2 linked regions of the Rattus norvegicus genome follow. The protein of the gene in region 1 interacts with the protein of each later gene in a pairwise test. Links are inferred from orthologs where the notes say so. Each region holds a gene or a part of one and is shown in the gene's direction. Other genes may lie near its edges.

Region 1 (3,810 bases):
GGGGTTCAGGGTATACTGTGAGCAAGAAGGACTGGTCTGTGTCCTCGGGATGCTCCCAGTCTGATAGGGCAGCTACCCAGATAGGTTCAAGAGGATATGAATATTCAGAGAGAACAAGAAGTAGCTGTCCCCATGCCACTACATCTGTTGGTCTCTGGTCACCCAACTTGCTTTAGATTTTCAGTGCCTGTTTATAAACTCTGCTAAGGCCCAGCAGTGCAGGGGTGGGACAAAGGTCATAGCCACTCACCCAACCTCTGACATCTCTAAAGGACCATGGACGTGGCTGTGCTCGTGGGAGACCTGAAGCTGGTCATCAATGAGCCCAACCGCCTGCCACTCTTCGACGCCATCCGGCCCCTGATCCCACTGAAGCACCAGGTGGAGTATGACCAGCTGACACCCCGACGCTCCAGGTGCATCCAGTCCCCAAGTCAGAGGCCAGGCCTGGGAGGGGCCAGCCTGGGAACACAGGGTTAGCCTGAGCTGGACCATAACCAACCCCCCCATGACTGTAACAGGAAACTGAAGGAGGTGCGTTTGGACCGTCTGCACCCAGAGGGCCTTGGCCTCAGCGTGCGTGGAGGCCTGGAATTTGGCTGTGGGCTCTTCATCTCCCATCTCATCAAAGGTGGCCAGGCAGACAGCGTTGGGCTGCAGGTAAGTCAACAGAGCCAGTAGAATGGGGCCAGGGCCTCAAATGCCCTGTCTCCTCCTGATCCACTCTGTGTTACAATGTGGACACACATTTTCTTAAGCCTTTGAGGAAGGAAGGGAGTGTTTGGAATCCTTCAGAATACAGAAAATGCTCTCTCTCTCTCTCTCTCTCTCTCTCTGTGTGTGTGTGTATGTTGTGTGTGTGTGTTTGTGTGTGTTCATGCATACCAGGCAAGCACTCCACCACTAAACTGAGTGTGTCCGTGTGTCTATGTATCTGTGTCTACCCTCACACATAAACATTCCACCACTAATCTCTATCCGGCCCTTGCCTGCTTTCTTGAGTCAAGTCAAGAGCCTGACTGCTGCTTCTTGATACTGCTACTGAGCCCCTCCCCAAACCTCCTACTTCCTGAAGGAGGAGCAGGGTTAAGGCGGGCACCCGCAGCTTGGTACGGCCACCTTTTAGTCTAATGCACTGATGTCTATGAAGACAGACACTGCCTCTGGACCATCCCATTCTACTCCTGGCCTTGGACCTCACTTTCCCCCCTCTGTAAAGCCGTATCAGGCTGTTGGAAAAGCAGGGGTGTAAATGAGACAGTCACCACAGCTTCTTGATACACCAGGGCTGTGAGACTGACAGATCCATACAGAGCGGGGACCTGATGACCACCTCCAACGAGTCAGTACACATCACACGAGTCAGCCCCACTCTAGAGTGTTCACAGAAGGGCAGGGGCCAATGAGCAGCAGAGCCAGGCTTTGAACTTGGGTCTCCTGGAGCCAAGTCAGCACCCCAGGCTTCTCCCCTGCAGTTCCTCCCCACGTCCCTGTCTAAGCAGAGGTAGGCAGGCCTCCAGGACTAAAGGCTGTTTTTGTCTATCCAGGTAGAGAAAGTTCCAGAGATTTTGCTATCAACATCCCCACCGGGGGACGAGCCAGGGGCTTCAGGGGGCTCTAGGGCTAATGGTGCGAGACCAAGGAGGAGGGGGTGGGGACAGCAAGCTGACAGTCAAGGCTTTGTTCGCAATCCGTGTCTCAGGGCTCCGGGTGGCATCTGAAATTTCAGCCCTCTCATTGTTCTTTCCCTCCGTGGCACATTTTCCAGCCCAGAAACACGGCCAGAGGAGAGAACATAATGAGTTCCCCCTTTAGGGACGGCTGGGCCCCCCTTTTTTCCAGCACAAGCACTCCTCTGAGGACAAGCGCTTCCCTGCAGAGCCTCATGAAGGAGGGCATCAGGGCACGCTCAGGAAACCCAGGCATCCAACTTCCCACCTGCTTCTCAGGCTTATGAAATAGCGCTCCCCTTTCCGGGGCTGTGGGGCCCATCTTTTCTTTGTCCCTCAGATTGTCATGTTACTATGAGCTCCATACAAAGACTCTTTTGCAGGGTTCTGTGTAGAGCAAGGAGTAGAGGGAAGTTGATCCTGCAACCCTATCCAGGGGCCATGGGGGAATCACTCCGACTAGGGTCCCTGGGAAGTTCCTGTGGTAGCAATACAGGGAACTCCACTCAGGAGGAGCTAGGAGAAAATCACCTTCATCCACTGACCAAGCCATCAAGTTTCTCGTGCTGGGGGACAGCACAGAGAAGATTCTAGAAGTCAAGAGGGATTTGCCCTGAGACGCAGGGGGCCCTGCAGGGGCTTGAACCCTCCAACAGGTCCTAGTCCTGGGACTTCAGCCACACGGCTCCTGTCCCTTCCTGGATACTTAAGGATTCTTCATACCTTCCTTATGTTTAACTGTGTCCTTTACTGATGTAAGCATGTAACTGGCTGTTTACTTATGGAGAAAATGGTTCTGCCTGCCTTCCCTCTCCCTGCTGTAAGACGTACAGAGTAATCCCTGCCTTCTGTGGGACTCCAGGGCTCTGAACAAAAGGCAGGACTCCACAGCAGGCAACACGCAAGGAACTGCACCCAGGCTTGGCCACCTAGCCTCCTTTCCCAGACACCTGAAAGCCGACGTGTGTTGTCTGTCCTGGAGTCCTGACGACATCCCAGCAGCCTCCTCACTCACTGAGTGGCTTTGAACAAATCACTTCGCCTCCCTGATCCCCTGTCTCTTCACTGTGGTCCCACATAAAGACCTTTTGGCGGGTTCTATGCAGAGCAGGAACACGAGTTCCTGCCCTTTGGAGTTGTAAAAAATTAGGTGCAGGGAGCTATCCAGATGTTCTATTGAAAGTCGGTGTCCCCAGGATTGCTGCAGGTTCTTTAGTGAGCCCCACTATCGGGACACTGAGAAGGTGGCCGTTCAGAGTGGCACGCCCTTTCCTGGTGGTAATGAGAGGTAACTGTAGATTATAGGCTGGGAACTGACCTGGAGACCGTGTGCCCTCAGAGTCTACCCTGAGGCCCCCACGTATACCAACCTTTCTCCAAGAGACCAGTAATGGGGTATCAGGGAGTCACAACCTCAGCCTGCATGACACCTGAGCTCGTTTCCCTCGTGGCAGCCACTGCCTTCATGTCCTTGGGCAATACACCATTGTCTCACATCCCTATCCTGTCTCTTGCCCATTCCTACCTCAGCACCCGGTCTTCTCTCAGGAGATGTTGATAGCCAAGGATCCTTTGACTTTTTGGTGGAGGTAGCAGTGAGGACCAGCAGGGGGCAGTCTCATCATGCGCTGCCTCTTTGAAGGCCTCTAATAATAACAACTGTTTATTAAGAACCTGCTGTGGGCCCCGTACTGGCTGGCCTTACACACTTACACATATGTTTGTTTAACCCTCATTAACTCCATGGTATTCCCTGTTTTATATGAAAGAAACTACGGTTTACAGAATCCAAGAGACTTGACTCCTGCCGTAAAATAATAGGAATTTTAAAAGGATTCGAGCCTGGGAGAACCAAAGCATAGCGCCCTGTGTTCGTTCCCTTTCCTTTGCCTGCTCCCAGAATCAAGATTCAGAAGTTGGTTTAACGTCATTGAGTTTCCATGGGATGGGATTACTCTTATGTTAGTGCTGTGAGCTTGGGTCAAGGGTCATGGGTCCCCATTTTGGCTCACCGCGGGTGTAGGTAACAGATAGAGACAAAGGCCTGCTTCTAGGACAGGGAGGAGCGAAGACCAGATGGGGATGTTGGATTCCAGAACCTGATTGCCCCTCGGTGGGGTGACCGAGGTACCAAGAGATG
Region 2 (4,297 bases), on another chromosome or scaffold:
GCAAGGATAGGATTCTAAGTCAACCCAGGGGGCTCTCCTTTCCTCCCATGCGATCCCTGGATTTGGGAACCCCGGAATGTGGGGACTAGGAGTGCTGGACCAAGCACTGGGGAAAATTAGGAACACCATAAGCAGCACCTTCCTCACCCGGTCCGGAAATATTGTACAAAGAGAAGCAGTGGCCCTAGGCCAGATCCCTTACAAAGTCCCACTCCCCAAAGCTGACAGTCTCCTGGCCAGGGGCACGCACCTGGCTGCACTGGGAGCCCACACCAAGTTGGGGGTCAAGGGGCAGCAAGCGACTCCTCTCTCCCACGCCGGGCTGGACCGGTGCTTTATACCGGAGAGGGCAGAGTGATTTACAGCCACATGAGCTCGGCTCCATAAACCTCTCAGTCCCACTCACATGATCCATCTTTCCTCCGAGCTGAATTTAGGGAAGCCAGATAAGGTGAGATTTATATTTACCTGTTAAGATCCCCTCACCTTGTCACGCTGGTGCGGCCAGGGTTCGGGCACGACCCCATATTGCAGTACCCAGAGGGTCCTCCGCCCCCAGCACCCACCATAACCTGGTGCTCAGAGATCACACCCACCCAAAGCCTGTACAGCTGACCCCCACCCCCGTACCCGCATGCACCTAGACACTGTCGCAGCTTAGGAACCACCTATATTTTGGATTTTGAATTGCTGTCCCGAGATCGGACACCTTTCCCCACCTGCCCTTAGAGGGATCCAAATTCGGTCTTCCTGTATCCCTACTACCGCTGCCCAGAGATGCTGGTTGGACGCAGCAAAGTCTGGTTCCCACGAGGTGCCCTCAGCCGGTCTGCAGTCGTCCTGCGCCCCCTGCTGGAGAACTGTTGTGTGACCCCACGCTTGTAGGCTAACTGCAGGGACTGTAGCGCCCTGCTCGCGGATGGTCTTGCGCTGGGTCCTCCTGGTTGCTCCTTAGGCCCACTGTCCTCCACATCAGAACTGCCTCTCCATCCCACCCTCACACACCATTCTCCAACCCCTGATCTGTCTTTTTTGACTAGTGAAGAAATCAGGGAATCCAGCACCTGGAATTCTGCCCAGGATATACTAGATGTCCCTATACTGGACTTCAAGGGCTGCAACGCCAGAATGGACGTTTTTGGGGCAAGAGAGCTGGATTTTCCTCGAGTCACGTCTGTGTGCTGAAAAACATGGCGTTTAGGACCCAGGGGAAGCTCCTGGGCGGCTCTCTGGGCAGTGAGAGATTCCCCCTCCCTCCCCGGGTGTGCAGCTCAGATGTCCCAGTAGTCTGTAGTCGTCTGTAGCCCTGGCTCTGGCGCTCCGCATCCACCATCTGCGGCAGCAGGGGCTGGCGGCCCAGGCCCCTGCCCAGCCCCTTCCCTCAACCCCATGTCTCAGCCCTAAGCCGGCTGCCCTCCCCGTCCGGGGACATTTCTCCGTGCCCCTTGCCCGCCCCGTCCAACTCGGGCGCCATGAATGACCAATATCACCGGGCCGCCAGGGATGGCTATCTGGAGCTCCTCAAGGAGGCCACCCGGAAGGAGCTGAATGCCCCCGACGAGGATGGCATGACCCCAACCCTCTGGGCTGCCTACCATGGCAACCTGGAGTCGCTGCGCCTCATTGTGAGCCGCGGGTGAGTATATCCTCTGCCTAGCCAGCAGGAGACCAGGAAGAACTTCCTTGAACCCCCGTGTCCTAAACGGCATGGCATTACTTACCCCCTTGTCTGAGCTGCCCTCTGCCCCTACAGACAGACCGTAAGGTGGGGCCGTGCAGCCTGCCACACTTTGAGAGACACACGTGGAGGGGACATAAGCTGAGCTTGTGACAGTTATGGACTGGATGCAGGGATTAGAGGAGAGGAACTTCAATTCGGGGATGGGATCTATGATTATGGAATGGGGCTGCAGAGTTATTCAAAAGTCAAAGACATTTTTGGGGGGTGCCTGGAAGCAAGAGTGAAAAGTAGGTGGGAACCTGAGAGAAGGCTGGGAAGTCTCCAGGGGCCTAGAACTTGGGAGTTCAGGAAGGAGAGACCTTCACTGCCTACTTCCCAACCTAGGAGCCAAAAGACTGTCCCTACAGCATCAATAGTCCCCACTGGCTGGGGTTCACACTGACCTGTGCCTTCCCACCACTCTTCTGGGATTTATGGGCACTGTCCACACTACCAAATGTCACTGGTCCAGACAGTGATTAACTCTCTGTACCCCTCCCCCTCTGCAGAACCCAGGATCTGGAAACTGTAGTGTGCAGAAGGGACATCTGCACTCCCCCTCCCTCTGGCATTGTCCTGGAAGGGAGGGTGGGCACCGAGTCGAGGGGTTTGGAGGATGAGTCAAGCAATGTGGATCTAGGATCACTAAAGTGGCTTGGGGTGGGAGAAGGGGATTAAATCACATTACTGGAGACATCCTACCAGTCAACAGTTTAGTAGGACTGGCCTCGACTCTGGTGTGACCTAGACAGGAAAAGGATGCCCCAAGAGGGTTCATATGAATGCCTCAGGCTCTAACTAGGGGTCATAGTAAGGGGCAGGGATTGTGCTGACCCTGGTATTGGAGTAGCTAAAATATGTGGGGACATGTTCCCCCTCTTTCTCTGTGTCTTCTCCTTTGGTTTAGCAGCATGAGGGAATAATGTGGAATCAGGCAACTGAGACAGAGCCCAAGACTCCAGGAGGGCACACAGTACTATATCCCCGGCCCCAACCAACGTAGAGGCTCATGGGAGTCTCGTGCAGGGAGGTGGGGTCTGGAAGGAAAAAGCTGTCTCAAGCCCTGAGGTTCTATTGAGGCAAGGATTTGTGCTTGATGAGGGAGGGTCTGTTACCCTTCCCTACAGGACCCTATACGGGTAATCAGAGGGGGAAGCTGTGGGGAGGGGAGGTGCTGAGATAAGGGAATGATTCTTCCCCCAGACCTGAGGCTGGCTTTGTGGCCTCATTAGTGTGGGGTAGGGCCCGGTGCTAGACCCGGGTGGGGGTGGGGGGACGGCGCAGAGAGAGAGACAGAAACAGAGAGACAGAGACAGACAGAGAGACAGAGATAAACAGAGACAAAGAGGTAAGATTCCTACAGAAGCCAGCAGAGCTGGGTGGGCTGTAGGCTGAAGTCAGATGTGGAGGGCATCAGAGAGGGCTGCCGGAGGGGGCAAAGCTACCCAGCTTCGTGGGGCAGCCTAAATGAGGGAGAACAGCACGACCAGGTCGCTGCCCTCTTCCTCTCTAGTTCTGGCTGTCCCCACAGTCCCCTTCTGGCCCAGGCCAAGACCCGACACCTGCTCTAACACTGGCGTTGCCAGGCCTGGCCCCGCTCCCTGCAGACATGGCGGTGCCCACTGTATACCAGCATGCACCGTCTCACGCTCTCCCAGGCTTAAGCCCAGCACTAACACAACCCACCCTCTAGTCCTCTTACGCAGTCACCCTGTAACGTGGCTTCATAAACTACCGCGCCTGCCTAAAGACCCAGACTCGGCCCTGGCCCACCACCTCTCTGGGCCAGCTCCCCGCAGGGCCCATGAATAATTCACTCCTTTCTCTCAGTGCATCAAATATTTATCCCCTGAGATTCCCAGCCCTCAGTTCTCTAGGGGAAGGCCCGCCCCACCCCGCCTCCTAGGTCGCCCCGCCCCTTTGTGGGTTGGGTCCCAGCCACCCCTGGTAGCTGTGCGTAGTTATGATGCATCTGTTGGCTCAAGCCCACTGCTCTCCTGGAAGTCTAAATCTCAATTCCATGGGTTTATTTTAGGGCAATGGTTTTCGACCTTCCTAATGCTGCGACCCTTTAATAGTTTCCGCATGTTGTGGTGACCCCAACCATAAAATTATTTTGTTGCTACTTCATAACTGTAATTTTGCTACTGTTATGAATCGTATGAGATACAGGATGTCTAATATATGATGATCCAGTGAGGATCGCGATCCACAGGTTGAGAACTTCTGTTTTAGTGGCTGTTACGTTGCAGGTCCAGGGGGCTCACAATGTCTGTGGGCTTTCCCTCTTTTTTCTTTTCCTCACCCCTCAAGATTCCTTATATCTCCAATCAGACCCCAGAAATGACTTGCTAAAAGGACTCATCGTACCTCTCTACATGCTGTCCCTACAGAGGTGACCCGGATAAGTGTGACATCTGGGGAAACACACCCTTGCATTTGGCAGCTTCCAATGGCCACCTGCACTGCCTGTCCTTCCTCGTGTCGTTCGGAGCCAATATCTGGTGCCTGGACAATGACTACCACACGCCGCTGGACATGGCCGCTATGAAGGGCCACATGGAGTGTGTGCGCTAT

What was found.
Region 2: the proteins of Ush1c (region 1) and Ush1g interact in binary tests that used the Homo sapiens proteins (3 or more experiments, as listed by UniProt). The link is inferred for Rattus norvegicus from reciprocal best matches to the Homo sapiens genes USH1C and USH1G.

Annotation. Positions count from the first base shown.
Region 1 is NC_086019.1:105,863,012-105,866,821, reverse strand, and holds part of Ush1c (harmonin), read left to right. Parts: intron 1-272; coding exon 273-416; intron 417-521; coding exon 522-660; intron 661-3,810. UniProt on the Homo sapiens protein: Anchoring/scaffolding protein that is a part of the functional network formed by USH1C, USH1G, CDH23 and MYO7A that mediates mechanotransduction in cochlear hair cells. Required for normal development and maintenance of cochlear hair cell bundles.
Region 2 is NC_086028.1:101,059,737-101,064,033, reverse strand, and holds the start of Ush1g (pre-mRNA splicing regulator USH1G), read left to right. Parts: upstream 1-1,469; 5' UTR 1,470-1,472; coding exon 1,473-1,636; intron 1,637-4,113; coding exon 4,114-4,297. UniProt on the Homo sapiens protein: Plays a role in pre-mRNA splicing by regulating the release and transfer of U4/U6.U5 tri-small nuclear ribonucleoprotein (tri-snRNP) complexes from their assembly site in Cajal bodies to nuclear speckles, thereby contributing to the assembly of the pre-catalytic spliceosome on target pre-mRNAs.